5 linked regions of the Macaca fascicularis genome follow. The protein of the gene in region 5 purifies or fractionates together with the protein of the main gene of each other region. This does not show direct contact. Links are inferred from orthologs where the notes say so. Each region holds a gene or a part of one and is shown on either strand. Other genes may lie near its edges.

Region 1 (2,164 bases), on a different chromosome or scaffold from region 5:
GGAATCGAATGCGGGTGCCTCAGACAGAGATGCTGCGCTGGCTGAAGGAGAACAGTTTGGAGACAACTGCGTTAGAGGCTGCTGGCATGGGGAGTGGCACACACCAGCCCTACACCAGCCCACTTTCTCTTCCTGACCCACTCAGGGGGTCCTCCTGACTCCCCGGGATCTCAGGATCAGTTTGGGGGCTCATCCCCCTGGTGTTGTTTTTCTGAGTTTTGTGTTTTTGGAGCCGGAGTCTTCCCTCAGTTGCCCAGCCTGGAGTGTGATGGCATGATCTCAGCTCACTGTAACATCAACCTCCCGGGTTCAAGTGATTCTCCTGCCTCATCCTCCCGTGTAGCTGGGATTATAGGATGCACCACCACACCCAGCTAATTTTTGTATTTCTAGCACAGCCAGGGTTTCACCATGTTTGTCAGGCTGGTCTCAAATTCCTGGCCTCAAACGATTCACCCCTCCTTGGCCTCTCAGAATGCTGGGATTATAGGCATGAGCCACCACACCCAGCCTTATTTTGTTTTTTGAGACAGGATCTCACTCGGTCACCCAGGCTGGAATGCAGTTGCACAATCTCATCTCACTGCGGCCTTGACTTCCCCAGCTCCAGTGATCCTCCCGCCTCAGCCTCCCAGGAGCTGGGACCGTAGTGCACACCACCACGCCTGGTTAATTTTTTTTTTTTTGTAGAGATGGGGTCTTGCCATGTTGCTCAAGCTGGTCATGAACTCCTGGGCTCAAGCAGCCCTCCCACCTTGGCTTCCAGAGTGCTGGGATTACAGGTGTGAGCCACTGCACCTGGCCTCCCCTGCTGTTATAATGGGGACAGTCTGGCAGCCCCAGGGCCCCACAGTGACCCTGGCCTCTCTCTCTTGTCCCTTCAAAGGTCTGGTGCTCCGTCCGCACACCTGAGAGCTCCCATGAAGGCCTCATCACCGACCCCCACAGCCCCTCTCGCTTCCGGGTCATCGGCTCCCTCTCCAATTCCAAGGAGTTCTCAGAACACTTCCACTGCTCACCTGGCTCGCCCATGAACCCGCCTCACAAATGCGAAGTCTGGTAAGGACGAAGCGGAGAGAGCCAAGACGGAGGAGGGGAAGGGGCTGAGGACGAGCCCCCCGTCCAGCCTCCAGGGCATTGCTCAGCCCGCTTGGCCACCCGGGGCTCTGCTTCCCCGCACTGGAGGGCTTTCAGCTGGAACCGAGCCCATGGTGTCGGCTCTCAACAGAACCCACCATCTGACCCCTGTGAAGAGCCGGACATCCAGGCACACACGTGCGCCACCTTCAGCGGGCATTCGGGTGTCGGGCGGGTGGCTCATCAGGCCTGGGCCCCACGCTGACAAGCGCCAGATACGCCACAAATACCACTGTGTCAAATGCTTTCAAGATATATTTTTGGGGAAACTATTTTTTAAACATTGTGGAATACACTGGAAATCTTCAGGGAAAAACGCATTTAAACACTTTTTTTTTTTTAAGGAAAGAATTGGTATATTTATTATGTTCTGTTTTTCTAAATAACCTGTGGACAAGGGAAGCCCCACTGATTTACCCCCTTTCTTCCCCACTCCCTGTGGGGCTGGGCTGAGGCAGGGATCCCTCTTCCCCACTCCCTGTGGGGCTGGGCTGAGGCAGGGATCCCTGGGCCACAGAGCAAGTCTCCAAATCAGACAGCTGCCTTGGCTCTTGGGATGTGTGATTTCAGCTCCTGTCACCTCGTGCAGAGGCATGGAGACCAGTAGAGGTGTGGAGGCCAGGCAGAGGGAGGAGCCGGCTCTGGGAGGTCCCAGCTCATGGGCACTGCCCCTTCAGCTAGCCTGCCTCTGTCCCCTGAGTCCAACAGTGGGAGCCCTAGCAGGGAAGTTCTGATCCCCAAAGCCACAGCAGGGGACTGATGGCTACGGCAGAATGAGGCCAGGTCAGGACCCTCAAACATCATCTGGGCGTACCAAGCACCCTGAAGCCAGACTGCAGGAGCCCTGCAGGGTGAGGCTCTATTGGAGATACACTGCTGGCCACAGGTGTCCCCTCTCGGTCCCACCTTTTCAGGCTGTCCCATGTCTATCTCAGGGGCCCATTACCTCTGTGCAGCAGTCCCCCATCCCAGCCACACCAGGGTCTGTCTGGCCAACCTCTTCCCCAGGAAAGGAGAAAAGAGAAAA
Region 2 (3,500 bases), on a different chromosome or scaffold from region 5:
ATCGAACCCCCTCCTCAGCCTCCTCACGGAGCCTGTTCTGATCTGCACTGTGGCCGTTGTTCACAGGAAATGTCTTCAAAGAAAACCTTCCCCGTTTTCTACATTGACCTTGAGATGTTTTCCTGTTAAAACGTCACCTTGTGCTGGGGCCAGCCGTCCTCCAGGTCCGAGCCATGTGCCCCTGCTCATGGCGGGAGTGGGGCTGAGCAGGCAATGGGGACAGAGCTGAAACTTCTGCCCCAGCCTGGCCGGTCCCGAGCGGGGCTAGGGGGCTGCCTCGCAGCCACTGACCTGCTTCTGGCTGTGCTGCTGGTCCTTGCCCGTGCGGGTTTCTTCAGGGCCACGGGGTGTGTCCCCCTCTCTGGCACAGGTGTCTGAAGCGGGCTGCCTGCTCCATCCTGGGGCAGGCGGGGTGGCCCCAGGGTGGATATCTGAACCTTTGCTGTTATATTGTGGTGACCTGGGCCAATGCTGAGCTGTGGATTTTATTTTTTTTAATTTAATTTTATTTTTTTTAGCTTTATGGGCAGCAGCCGTTTCTTCCTTCCGCCGGCTCTGCTTCCATTCCTGAAGTCTCAGGCTCTCCCCGGGTGTCAGGTCTGAGGCCCTGAGCCATCCAGGGAATGGAGCTGGGGGCCCTCCTGTTCTCCCTCTAGTTTTTCCCATAACTTTTCCAGTGTAACAGGTTCCCCTCCGTCGGGGAGGCACAGCAGAGCAACTGCATCTTGGTTCTCTGCCAACCATGTGGTTCTGCTCCCCTCCCCTAAGCCCCCGCCCCCGGGATGGTCAGGATCCCACCCTGGGCCTCTCTCTGAGCCTCCGTCTGTTCCGGGACGGACTCCTGTCCCCTCCAGTCCCCTTCTGCCCCTTCCTGCCCCCACGGCCGCTTTGCCTGCCCAGGGCCTGAGTGCAGCCTGGGGAGGGGGCTGCCTTCGGGTGTGGGGTCCGAGCCCCCGGCACACGCTGTGTTCCGTCGCAGGCTCCGCGCATGGGCACCTTCATTGGCGTCTACCTGCCGTGCCTGCAGAACATCCTGGGCGTCATCCTCTTCCTGCGCCTGACGTGGATCGTGGGGGTGGCTGGTGTCCTGGAGTCCTTCCTCATCGTGGCCATGTGCTGCACCTGCGTGAGTCTCCCCGGCCAGTGTGGCTGTGCCTTCAGGCGGGGGCAGCCGGACAGTAGGGCCCTCCCCAGACACCCGTGTAGAGGTTGTTCAGCGCCGTCCCCTCCACGAGAGCCGGGGCAGCTGCGGGGATGAGACACCACACTGGCCGGGGTTCGCGCTGGCGTGTTGATTGGCGCTGGCACCTCATTTACCCGTGTCTGCGGAAAGGCATCTCGGCCGGTGGTGGGTGTTGTGGGGTGGCCTCAGGGGGCTGAGGCTTCCAAGGGAAGGGACACCCTGTGTTTTGACGACATCACCTCCAGTTTGGAAGGACCTTGGGTACTTTCAGGTGTCCTTGTCATAGGGAAAGGGGTGGGAACCAGGACACTGCATGCCTGGTGCCCGGGAGCCTCCGGGTCCTAGTTTCCCAGCCACTGCATTGAGATGGAGAGCCCTGGAGCCGGGGGCTGACTTTCGGCGGGAGCCAGGCCATAGACCGCGCCTTGGGAGTGTTGCGATGCCGGCAGGCTCTTGGAAAGCTCTCCTCAGATGGCCGCCTGTCTTTCTGCAGACAATGCTGACCGCCATTTCCATGAGTGCGATCGCTACCAACGGCGTGGTGCCAGGTAAGGGGTGCCTGAGTCCTGTTAGAGGAGTCTGTGTGTTTGGTAACTGGGAGGAGGCCGCTCCGCGAGGCAGGGCCAGGGGCTGCCTGGGGGTCACTGCCAGGCCTTCTGCGTGTTCTCCACTGGCTCCTCTGGCGTTTGAGCCGTGAGGTCACGGCTGTTTGGTTTTCTTCCCCATTTTGCTGCATGGTGACCGTCTCTTGCCAGGGTAGGCAGTGCCCACCGGGCAGCGGGCTTGGGAGGGGGAGGCATGGGCGATTCCAGTGATGCCTGTAGCCTGGCATGTGCCATAGGCTGAGTTCTTGGAACCTGTATCTCACGAGGGAAGGTGAAGACAAAACGCTGCCCTGACCTTGTTAATTACTAATAAATTAATTACAATATGTAATAACTAGTGAACTGAGATGTTAATTAGTAATAAATTAATTACAATACGTAATAACTAGTGAACTGAGATGATGTTCATCAGCAATAAATTAATTACAATACGTAATAACTAGTGAACTGAGATGATAATTAGCATTAAGTTAATTATAGTACGTAATAACTAGTGAGCTGAGATGATACTGTTAATTAGTAATTACGTAAATAGCTAGTGAACTGAGATGATGTTAATTAGTAATAAATTAATTGCAATACATAATAACTGGTGAACCGAGATGATATTGTTAATTAGTAATAAATTGCAACACGAAATAACTAGTGAACTGAGATGATGCCACGTCTGCTCCCTAGTGCACGTGTCCTGCGTGTGTTAACGGCCGGGCTTGCTCAGCACCAGGTCCTCACGCAGCTGGCCCCCACCCCCACAGGGGCATTGCGTGGTGCTCAGTGGACTTCCCCGGCCGCAGGAGAGCACGAGGGCCCTCACTGGGGGTCTCCCTCAGCAGCCAGGGGACCAGTCTCTGCTTCTCGATGACTGCATCCGTTAGGGCCCCTTCCTCATGGCCACATGCACTGCTCAGAGCAGGGAGAGCCGCGTTCTCCAGGCAACCCTGGGGTCGCTCCCAGCTTTCCCGTCAGCCATCGCATGCGTGGTTCACAGTCTACCAGAGAACTCCTGAACATCCTGGTTTCTCTTTTGCCTTTTTTATAAGCAAAACGTAGTGGAAGTGGGGGCTGGGGCTGCCATTGATGTACGCAGGCCTTTTTCCCGGACGTGCTGGGGCCTCCTGCCCCGACCTCACCTGGTCCTCATGTCCACGAGGGCACGGTCGGTGTGGAATGTGTGCCGAGCCTCGGGAGGGGAGCGTTTACCGTGGCAGCCGGACGTCTTCATGTGCTGCTTTGCGGTGGGCGAACACGCTGCCTTCGCAGAGACAGGCCTTCCTTCACTCACGAGCGACAGCGCAGACCGCACCTCAAGTCTGCGTCCAAGCACGCCCCTGACCCGCGGCCGCCGCCTGTGTCTCCACAGCTGGCGGCTCCTACTACATGATATCGCGCTCACTGGGACCCGAGTTCGGAGGCGCTGTCGGCCTCTGCTTTTACCTGGGCACGACGTTCGCAGGGGCCATGTATATTCTGGGGACCATCGAGATCCTTCTGGTGAGCATGCTGCTTTGGAGCGTTCCCCACCCCACAGTCTGCGGCAGGACGCCAAGGGGCCCTGCCTGACCCACTCTGTGGCACACACAGCACACGGAGCCCTCCCGACCCCACTGCCCTGACTGCCCCTGGGCTCTCCCTGGCGGAAGCCGTCGGCAGCGTCCACTCCGCAGTGACCTGGGTCCCCTGTGAGCTCCATTGCCGCCCTCCGCGAGGGGTGC
Region 3 (3,500 bases), on a different chromosome or scaffold from region 5:
GCCAATCAGAGGGGTTAAAAAGGCATTTGGGGGGCTTTTTTTCCTAGCTCTGTATTAACATATACTCATATAAACCGTACCATGGGGTCACTTTTTGGTTACCATTTCCCCTTCCCCATTTTTCATTAACCTGCCCTAATTCTCACCTTTAATATCTAACAGATACCTTTATAAAATTAACAAAACACATACAGTACTCAACACTAAATGGTCAATGGAAGAAGACAAGCAGTGTTCATTTTGTTTTAAAGTGGAAGAGACTAGAAATAAAAACAACAGTTGAAGGCAAAGTTTGACATTCTATAAATTTATAAAAGAGGATATATGGATGAAATTTGGTTAATTTCAGAAGGCACCTCAAGGCTAAAGGCTTTTTGTACTTCTTTCATCAATCAAAAAGTTAACACACTTTTATTGCTATTCAAGTAGCAAAGGAAAACTACTCTCACAAACTTCAGTTCAACAGAGAAGAATCACCATTCATTAAGATTGAGATATGGAATTGACTAAAACCGAAGTCTCCATACACATATCAATGGAGCAACTTTCCTGTGTGCTTTCAAATTAATGAAATCATGAAAGAAAAGTCACTATTCGCCATTGTGATGTTCATGTGTCATTGAAGATTTCAGTTACTACACTAGGCACTGAAGTACCATTCTGGAGGGCTGTCCACTGTATAGAACATTTACGAGTAGAAGGTAAGGACACTCTGATGATTCCCACGAACTAGGAGGATTGGTGGTAGGTCCTTAGATAGAGCTTCTAACCATGCCATGTAGAGAGCACTGGACACAGCACCTTTTCGTGCAACTGGGAGACTCCTGGTATCAAAAAGAGAAAAAGAACCTGAGCAATGCATTGACAGAATAAAATGTAGCAAAAATTATAAATTAGATTACAATAAGTTACTATAAATTACTATAATTACAGAATATTTCTGAGTGCAGGAGAATTCTGCATATAGAATAACAACCACAGTTGTGTTGCTTTGCGATAGCGACTCATTTCTTAGAACTTATTATTGTCAGGCAATTTTGCCCTCATGAAAACATCATAAGAGTACTTACACAAACCAAGACAGTATAGCCTACTACACATCTAGGCCATATGACACTTGCTCCTAGGCTACAAACCTGTGCAGTATGTTACTGTAGTGAATACCATAGGCAACTGTAACACGATGGTAAGCATTTGCATAGCTAAATATAGAAAAGATACAGTAAAAATATGGTTTTTTTGTTTTTGTTTTTAAGAGAGATGGGTCTTAATACATTGTCCAGGCTGGACTCAAAACTTCAGGTCTCAAGCAATCCTCCCACCTCAGTCTCCCAAGTAGCTGAGACTACAGGTGCACACCATCGTGCCCAGCTTAATATATGGTATTACAATCTTATGGTACCACCATCGTACACGTGTATATAAAAGACTATAATCTTTCAACAAAGATTTTTAAGAATTTGTTCATAAGAAAAGTAAATATTTCTATAAACCACAGTATCTCTGAGATATAACACTAAACCCTAGATTTCCCCTTCTTTAATAAGAATAGAATTCTTTTAGGTGAAAGGTATGTTTACTATCCAAATTTAGAAAACAGAAGCTATATATGGATAAATGCAATTTTTATCTTCTTATCTCAGTTTTAATTTCTATTTATGGATGGTGGTAGCAGTGACCAGCTGCTTTGTAAGTTTTTCTCTAAATTTCTGCGTTTTAGTGTCTTTTCCATTACAGGTATTTATCATCAGCAAAACTTGAAACTTTCTGATTTATTAAATGCTTGTTGTTAAACTAACAATCTTTTGATAGTTTTTTTCATTATTTGGCTTTTTTTGTGGGGGAGAGGCCTGAGCTTTCCTATCTAAGGACACATGTTCCAGAACTGAGAAAATGTGGGTTCAAAGAATATCTAGCTAGCCTAGTTCAGTAGAGGAAGAGCCAAAGCAGGCATTTACATCTGTATTTAACTCAAGGACAATGTGTCGGTATGTAAAATTTGTGTGTGGAAAACATAAGAATGGGAATCCAGACAGGAATCACTATTCAAGTTTAATCTGCCAAATAACATTTTTTGGGTTATTTTCAAGAGGAAGCTGTCTGGGGTCCAAATTTTAACGTAGGACCCTCCTATCCACACATACTTAATGGCTATGCTATAGTGTTTACAAAGATAAGGAATTTTGAAAAGGTGAGAAGTGTAAACAAAAGGTTCCAATTACGATAAAAAAATTACTTGGGATTCATATAAGCTTAAGGTTAGTCTTTCTCCATATGCTTAAAGCATAGTATATTTTTACAAGTTTGTTTTTTCCTCCTTACAACAACTAAGTCAATATGGGTGTTATATAGATATGTGGCTGGAACAGAAATTAATTCAAAGCATATTATCAGAAATTAGCAAGAAAATCTTTATAAAGATATTACTTACATGACAATAATATTAGCTGTGCTTGAATGTTCCTTTAATAATTCATTTAACCTGATCTGCCGGTAGGTCTGAAATGAAACAGGACAAAGTCATTCCTAGACCATTTGGAAATAAGAATTTAGCATGGTTCATAAAACTATAAGGAGACAAAAAGAAATGGAAATGAATTTTAGTGTAATAAAAATCTTTTTTTTTTTTTAAATGCTTTCTGCTAACCTCAAATAAATCTACTTTAGAGTTCATTTATACAATTGACCCCTCCTATATCAAATTTGAAGTTCTTGGTTTTCATGTCTTTTATTATATAAAAAATCAATGAAAATAAAGCAGAAGTGAAAGAATACCTTGGTCTTATAAAGTTCAAGCTCATTATCTGTTATTCGCCATGGTTCATCTTCTTTCATTTTATCTGCAATATCTTGCTCTTTATCATCTTCATGAAGTCTGTATGGCTCAATCATTTCCTCAAAAGCTATAATACTTTAAAAAACAAAGAATTCTCACAACTAATCTTATTTTAAGTTACATAACAGAAAGATCTTAAATATTAAACTATAACTTGCAAAGTTAGTGCCTCTCATTTATTATGCTCCTCTCCATACCCCAACCATAATAATCACTGTGGCAATTTATTTCAAAAACAGCAATTTCTAGTCTCTCAAACTGATGAGAAAATTAGAACCCATATGGACAATACAGATTGTGCATCCCTAATCTGAAATCCAAACTGCTTCAAAATCTAAAACTTTCTAAGCACCAATATGATGTCTAATGGAAATGCTCAGTGAAACATTTTGAATTTCTGATTTTTGGATTAGGGATTCTAAACCAGCATGTATAATGAAAATGTTTCAAAATTAAAAAAAAAAAATCTGAAATCTGAAACACTTTTGGTTGACCCCAAGCATTTGGGATAAGGAATCTCCAACCTGTAATAAAATTGCATTTTTAACTGCTAAAGCTGACCTCCCTGTATCTACCCCTCCTCCCCTTATGGCCATTTTCTCTCAACCTAAATATATTTTACCATAGTAGCCAAAATGATCCCTTTGAGCAATAAGTCAAAATT
Region 4 (3,500 bases), on a different chromosome or scaffold from region 5:
GCCATACCTCGGGCAGCCTTCTCGCTCTCTGTGCCCAGGCATCTTGCTCTGTGCAGTGGGGCCCTGAAGAGTTTTAACACCACATGGTTAATGAGGGAGGACATAGGGACGCAGTGCACTGGGCACTCCCCATTTCCTGCTGTCCTAGGACAGAGCCAGGGACATCCTCCTGTCATCACCACCGGCACTGCCCTCCCCCTCAGCTCTTCCCTAACCCAAGAGCTGACAGCTTTCCTCCGAGAATAGAACCCTGCCTCTGTCCTGCCAGTGACTCAGTTTAAACCAGCAGGGTTTTATTCATAGCATTGGTATTGGCCGTCAGGTCTTGATGTTTGATAAATTAGCTGATTACAAATTCACACAATCCAGTGCATTTTTTCATATGCTATCCAGTGGCGTAGCTGATGTCCTTCCCAGTGTCGGTGGAGCTGCAGACTCTCCCCACGCGGAGACTGCTGAGCCGGCAGCTGCACTGGGGCTGAGCTCAGCCATGGTTCAGACTGTCATCACAGATCTTCCAGCCACGCTAGAGTTACAGGAGCCCAATTGCACTTTGACTAGAAAGTCCCTTTGTCAGCTGTTTCAGTACATTCTGTGACATTTAGAAATAATTCAGGAAGCTGTGTTGGGTGTGTGCAATTAGTAAGTGATGGAATGAGTTGAAGCAGATTCGATACAGTGAGCTGGTTTCTTACCTCCAAACTTAATTTGTGACCAAATAATTGATTGCTGGGAGGGGAAGAAAACTAATTCCTTCATTTTATTTCCCAAAGTGAAGGCATTGGAGTCTTTCAGCAATCTTCTAAACAAAGTCTGTTTGATTCATGTAAGATGTCTCATGGAGGGCCATTTACAGAAGAGAAAGTGGAAGATGTGAAAGCTCTGGTCAAGATTGTCCCTGTTTTCTTGGCTTTGATACCTTACTGGACAGTGTATTTCCAAGTGAGTGGTGACAAACAGGTTTAATTTCCTTTATCTTCCTATGAAGTCTTAGCCTAGCACTTGTTTTGGCCATGTTTAAAGTAGTTAGGACTAGATTATTTTTTTTTTCCATGAGTCTACAGAATCCTGGCATTTTTGGTTTTAGTTATGGAGTCATTTTGGCTGCTTTAACTATGTTTAAAGCCTCTCTGAAAAAGAAGCTGAGAACAGGTATGCTTCTGGTTTTTCCAGGCCCCTCTTGTTAATGTAATTTCTCCTTTGGATAACTGGCTGTTCTTTTTCAAAATTGATCTCCAGAGGACTTTACAGTGACCAAATCATTGACCTGTCTGTTTTCAAACTTGAGCCGTTGTCTGTTTCTGGGAGTCACTACTGTCGCATCTCAGAGCCTAGTTTAGGGGAGGGGCAGGATGCTTAGAGTGTTTGAGGGCACAGTTGGTTCACATATAATGATACTGTTTTTTATACCTAGATGCAGACAACGTATGTTTTACAGAGTCTTCATTTGAGGATTCCAGAAATTTCAAATATTACAACCACTCCTCACACGGTAAGAACAATTGTAATGATCTCAAAATTGTCATTTTGGGCTTATGTAATAAATGGATTCCTTCTACCAACTGTAAATGTTTTATAAATGTTAACAGCACCAACAAAAACCTTTGTTATTGAAATAGAGTTTTTACTTATTTTAGAGAATATTTTTTGTTGGTTGTATCATTTACTAGATTAGGTTGACTGACATCAGTTCAGCGTTACTTAGTATTTTTCACCTGATTATTTTCCCCTCAAAGCACAGAAAAGCAAATGCAGATTCATTTAGAAAGGAAGCTTTTCCCAGTTCCGTTGTCTCTAAACTGAAGAGGTTGTACCTTGTGGAGAGGAGCTGTTCTTTACATGCATTTCTCCCATTGAGATGTTGGTTCTCCAGACGGGTGGTGTATTGCGGGGAGTAAACGCCTCCTCCCGTGTTTCACCCCAGCTCCCTGCAGCCTGGCTGACCATGTTTGATGCTGTGCTCATCCTGCTGCTCATCCCTGTGAAGGACAAACTGGTGGATCCCATTTTGAGAAGAAATGGCCTGCTCCCATCCTCCCTGAAGAGGATCGCCGTGGGCATGTTCTTTGTCATGTGCTCGGCCTTTGCTGCAGGTAGGAGGCATTCTGCTCCGTTCCTCCTCAGGCCCCACTTCGGCAGTTGTGGATTCAGAATAGAGTGTTGACGCCCTGTCATGCCCCAGGTTGTTCAGGAAGTGCGTGTCTGTGAAAGAGGATGTGTATCAGTTATTTTACAGCACTAATCCTTTGTTTTAAACTTTAAAATAAGTTGAAGATTATTTTCCTAAGGATATGTCAGTTTTCTTCTGGTACTAAAACCATTGGGTTGCTCTGAAAAGGGACTTTTGGACTGAGTTAAAGGGAGGTTTTTCTCTACCTTCTGGTTTAGAATTAGGCTGTTGAATGCTGAACAGATGAATTCGTGTAAATTAAAGGTACTATATCATTCTCGAGGATGAGAATTCCACCTTCAGATTACTAACCTTTGGTTTATTAACAAGTGTCAGGGTGTCTGTGAGTCCTTTGAATTTTTTATGTAAAATTCTGTGTGCATTTTTCTGGTGACAAAAATGTTTCTAGATTGTTATAGGCTCATGGGCAGCATCTCCTCCCCCTACAAATAAACCTCATAAGAACGAATGCCTAAGTCTCTAAACTCAGACGAGGAGAGTTATCCTTTTGAGGGTTTCCATTCTGTTTTCGTAATTTGTATGTGCTGAAATGAGTTGTTTATCCTTTGCTGATAAAGCTGGGTATCGCTGACTTTCTCAGTTATTTTGGAGTTCTCCCTTCATTAATATTTGAAAATTGTTGAATGATAAAACAGCTTAGTTACATAATAAGAAAAGTTGATATTCTTGAACCAGCTGTATATTATCTGCTGTTATGAGGAATTCAGTGTTAAGCGCTGCTGAAATGGAATTTAATATTCTCAAACAATGCTGCCTTCATAGCAGCCTTCATCTACTTTTGCCAGACTGAACATATTGATATAGTACTTAATAGATTTAAAGAAATTAGTCCCTGGGCTTAAGAAATCTCTATTCTAGAGACTGGGACATTTTAGAAGACTATTGCATTTTCTTTTGTTCAAATAGATAATTAAAGTGAGGTCGTGTCTGAGTGAAGTTTTTGCTGTGTGCCTTCTTTATAATTCAGCTTCTCTTCCAGAGCTGTGGCACATGGGGAAATAAGCATAGGCAGAGAAGAACTGAATTACCGCAGGGCTCTAGCTGCAGGCTGCAGTTCAGCAGAGTGCACACGCAGAAGGGCTGTCTGCAGGAAGTCTTTGCACTGGAGGCTGTGTCTGCCTGTCTGTCCTACCTCCCTAAAGCGCAGGCTCAGCTTTGGCCTCAGACCTCTCTCTCCCCCTGGGGCTAGAGTGCCTTCTCTGTGCCCCATCACCACACTGGTTGATGCCAAGGAAGGAAGTCCTCATTCCCTCCCTGTGGGAAAGGAGATCTCCTTGGTTTCTGGAGGCTTTTCCAGTAAATACTTGGT
Region 5 (3,500 bases):
ATTTTTGTATTTTTCATAGAGACAGGGTTTTGACATATTGTCCAGGCTAGTCTTGAACTCTTGGGCTCAAGCAATCCGCCCACCTTAGCCTCCCAACGTGCTGGGGATTACAGGCATGAGCCACGCCCAGCCAATATCTTGCATTTGAATCAAGTAGTGGACATTTATTGAATCCCTTGGGGCGATGTCATTTCTAAAAGTGATTGAGTAAATATCACAGGTAGGCAATCAAGGATATTCTGGTTGTTTCAAGGTCTATGTAATTCAGGCCATGGCACAGGTGATCCTGAGCTTAGGAAGAACTCACCCATGCCTCAGGGGCCCAACTGCCCTCCTCCCCTCACAGCTGGAGCACCTGCAACAGCTGTGAAGCATCTTGTGCTTTAGGAGCCTTGACATGGGAAGGAACAGGAGAAAGCAGGATTGATGTCTCCAGACCACCCCTTGTGGCAGCTTTGGGCAAGGCAAACCCTCTTTGGTAGCATCTTACACCCAAATATTTTTTTCTTTCACGTTGCCTGAATTTTTTCACCTTAGTTTGTTGTACTGCCAAAGATTTTATTTGGAATAACAAGTACCTTTAAAAAAAGAAAGCACATACAAACTTCAGCTGCCCTTTGAGGCTTAGCTCCAACAGCACTTTTCCTTTCCTTCTTAGAAGTAAGCTTTCTGCGTTTGAATTCCTACAGCACACATTCTAACTCATAGCATTCGTGACTTGTTATTTCACATTTCCATGGATGCATCTCATCTGCCTTGCTGGACTGTGGGCCCTTTGGCTTTTTTTAAAATTCTTAATCTTTATGGGTACATAGCAGGTATATATATTTATGGGCTACATAAAGATGTTTTGACACAGGTATGTAGTGCATGATAATCACATCATGGAAAATGGGGCATTCATATTCTCATTTATTTGTGTTACAAACAATCCAAGTATACTTTTAGTTATTTTCAAATGTACAATGAAATTATTGACTATAGTCACCCTGTTGTGCTGTCAAATATCAGGCCTTATTCATTCATTATAACTATTTTTGTCACCCATTAACTATCCTCACCTCCCTCCCACTCACCCACCCCCAGTACCTTTCCCAGCCTCTGGTAACCATCCTTCTACTCTATACCTCTGTGGGCTCAATCGTTTTGAGTTTTAGATCCCATGGCCCCTTTGACCATGCAGATCATGGCCTATTCATCTTCGCACCTAGACAGGAGCCTGCGCAGTGCCTGACCAAGAGCAGGCATAAGTGTGTGCAAATAGAGGAATAAATAACAGGGCAGCAACTATGTCTGGAGGTCATTGTCTTTCCTGTCTCAGTAGGAATCAATCACTGCTGATCTTCAAAAACCCAGAGGAGGGGATGGGGCAGTTAGTGGGGACAGAGGGCAGATGGGCAAGATGAACACACCAAACCCTTTATAAGGAGTAAGGAAGGAAGGTGAAGAAGAACCAAAAAGAAACCATGACTGTTTACATTTTTCACCTGGAAAAGGGACAGGACCTTTTCTTCCTCCCTGCCTCCTCCTCCCTCATGCATTGTATGGCCTCTTGGTCTCAGGATTCAGAGCACAGGCTAGTGTGATGGAAGTTTAAACTTGTGAGTTATATTTAACTCACAATCTAGCTGGAAAGCATCCCTGCCCCTTGAGGAGATGTTGTGTGGTCCCACACTACTGACTTAGGCATAATGCCTAGAGATTGACTAGAACTGCACAATGAACTAGTGGTGAGGTTCAATTTAATGGAAATCGGTGAAAGCTTTCAGGATCAAATGATAACCTTTGTCTCTTTCTTTCTCTCAGGAAAATGGCAGACAATTTTTCGGTAAGTGTTTTATGCCTGTTTCTTACCCTCGATCAACTCCACATGGTTGAGCGTTGGGGGTTTTGTTTTTACCATGACTTTCCCTTTTCACCCTCCCACTGTGTGGCTTCCCCTAGACTCATTTGTCCAACGAGGGCTTGTGAGCTGGAGCCTTGTTTTCCCAGCAGCAGATTTGGGAAGAAAGCCAGGCAGAGCAAGGCCTGGGACTCACTCACAGTAACCCTTTCACCAAAAGGCCCAGGGCGGAAGGGAGTGGACTCTGCTGGCAGGAGCTGAGAAATCCTCTGAGTAGCGGGAAGCGCGGTACAGTCTGGGCATTCTGATGTTTGTGATTGTTTTTCTCACAGTGATTAAAAAATATGTGCTGTAAATAGAGGAGCGCTAGCTCCTGACTTGGGCTAATTATGAAAATGCAGCCCTCCCTGATTTGAGACCTTGGGAGGCAAGAACAAAGTGAAAAAGCATATGTAACCCCAACGTCTAATTTTAGTCTTAGACACTCAAAACTATTAACAAGTGGAAAAAGTATAATGCTATGCATGTAATGCCTTTGCTATATTCCTCTCCTTCTTAGATCACATATTCCTATTTCCCTGAAAATTCTGCTTTTGAGAATGCTTTCTGTCCTGTAATTGTTTATGTCTTTCTTTACAGCTCCATGATGCCTTATCTGGGTCTGGAAACCCAAACCCTCAAGGATGGCCTGGCCCATGGGGGAACCAGCCTGCTGGGGCAGGGGGCTACCCAGGGGCCTCCTATCCTGGGGCCTACCCCGGGCAGGCACCCCCAGGGGTTTATCCTGGACAGGCACCTCCAGGTGCCTACCCTGGAGCACCTGGAGCTTATTCCGGAGCATCTGGAGTCTACCCAGGGCCACCCAGTGGCGCTGGAGCCTACCCATCTCCTGGACAGCCAAGTGCTCCTGGAGCCTACCCTGCCACTGGCCCCTATGGCGCCCCTGCTGGGCCACTGGTGAGATGGCATTCCTCCTTTCATGTACTTGGCATGCAGAGGGCTTCAGGGAGACCCTGAGCTTTAAACCTGCTGTGACAGCCACTTCTCAAGGGCCAGCCATGGGCATATGTTGGTAGAATCGAAAAATTAAGTGTTCATGTTGAGCTTATTGTGTGTGGTTAGTATAAACAGAAGGTAATGAATATTTTGAAGGCACTGATAAAGCTGCTTATGAATATAAACCAAAATTGTAGTAATGGAGAACATTTTGGTTATTATTAACACTTACTGAGTACATGTCAATAATATGCATCTACCTGGATGATCTAATTTAACCCCATTACCACCCTATACGATACTGTTAATAACCCCATTTCACATGTGGGGAAATGGGGCAATACAGAAGTGATATAATTTGTCCAGGGTCATTGAGCAAACAGGTAGAGGAACCAGGGTAATCTGGTTTTGAAAAACCTTCTAAAGATAATTTTGTGATCTAAGGGTTGAATTTTCATGCAAATTAAAATATGTCTTAGCAAGTGAATTCTAAATGTAAAACATAACTCTGTGGGGGATCCAGATACATCTCAGCCACAGGATCCTTCCTTTCCAGATTTATAGTCTAGTTAGATGATAAAACATATAATAAATATGAGGAAAGAGCTAAGTACCAGTGTGGGATTAGACCATTTCAGAACTATGCAGAAGATGGCACAAG

Evidence for each region.
Region 1: the proteins of LGALS3 (region 5) and ECE1 purify together in Homo sapiens (affinity purification with mass spectrometry; 3 studies listed by BioGRID and IntAct, counting the BioPlex papers as one, with this or other methods). This does not show direct contact. The link is inferred for Macaca fascicularis from reciprocal best matches to the Homo sapiens genes LGALS3 and ECE1.
Region 2: the proteins of LGALS3 (region 5) and SLC12A7 purify together in Homo sapiens (affinity purification with mass spectrometry; 3 studies listed by BioGRID and IntAct, counting the BioPlex papers as one, with this or other methods). This does not show direct contact. The link is inferred for Macaca fascicularis from reciprocal best matches to the Homo sapiens genes LGALS3 and SLC12A7.
Region 3: the proteins of LGALS3 (region 5) and SLC12A2 purify together in Homo sapiens (affinity purification with mass spectrometry; 3 studies listed by BioGRID and IntAct, counting the BioPlex papers as one, with this or other methods). This does not show direct contact. The link is inferred for Macaca fascicularis from reciprocal best matches to the Homo sapiens genes LGALS3 and SLC12A2.
Region 4: the proteins of LGALS3 (region 5) and SLC15A4 purify together in Homo sapiens (affinity purification with mass spectrometry; 3 studies listed by BioGRID and IntAct, counting the BioPlex papers as one, with this or other methods). This does not show direct contact. The link is inferred for Macaca fascicularis from reciprocal best matches to the Homo sapiens genes LGALS3 and SLC15A4.

What each region holds. Positions count from the first base shown.
Region 1 is NC_088375.1:213,841,341-213,843,504, forward strand, and holds part of ECE1 (endothelin-converting enzyme 1), read left to right. Parts: intron 1-886; coding exon 887-1,063; 3' UTR 1,064-2,164. UniProt on the Homo sapiens protein: Converts big endothelin-1 to endothelin-1.
Region 2 is NC_088380.1:1,436,538-1,440,037, reverse strand, and holds part of SLC12A7 (solute carrier family 12 member 7), read left to right. Parts: intron 1-979; coding exon 980-1,126; intron 1,127-1,676; coding exon 1,677-1,731; intron 1,732-3,148; coding exon 3,149-3,279; intron 3,280-3,500. UniProt on the Homo sapiens protein: Mediates electroneutral potassium-chloride cotransport when activated by cell swelling. May mediate K(+) uptake into Deiters' cells in the cochlea and contribute to K(+) recycling in the inner ear.
Region 3 is NC_088380.1:134,769,182-134,772,681, reverse strand, and holds part of SLC12A2 (solute carrier family 12 member 2), read right to left. Parts: intron 2,912-3,500; coding exon 2,776-2,911; intron 2,500-2,775; coding exon 2,432-2,499; intron 825-2,431; coding exon 689-824; 3' UTR 1-688. UniProt on the Homo sapiens protein: Cation-chloride cotransporter which mediates the electroneutral transport of chloride, potassium and/or sodium ions across the membrane. Plays a vital role in the regulation of ionic balance and cell volume.
Region 4 is NC_088385.1:135,938,457-135,941,956, reverse strand, and holds part of SLC15A4 (solute carrier family 15 member 4), read left to right. Parts: intron 1-773; coding exon 774-942; intron 943-1,414; coding exon 1,415-1,492; intron 1,493-1,924; coding exon 1,925-2,093; intron 2,094-3,500. UniProt on the Homo sapiens protein: Proton-coupled amino-acid transporter that mediates the transmembrane transport of L-histidine and some di- and tripeptides from inside the lysosome to the cytosol, and plays a key role in innate immune response.
Region 5 is NC_088381.1:122,996,909-123,000,408, forward strand, and holds part of LGALS3 (galectin-3), read left to right. Parts: intron 1-1,806; 5' UTR 1,807-1,810; coding exon 1,811-1,828; intron 1,829-2,482; coding exon 2,483-2,800; intron 2,801-3,500. UniProt on the Homo sapiens protein: Galactose-specific lectin which binds IgE. May mediate with the alpha-3, beta-1 integrin the stimulation by CSPG4 of endothelial cells migration.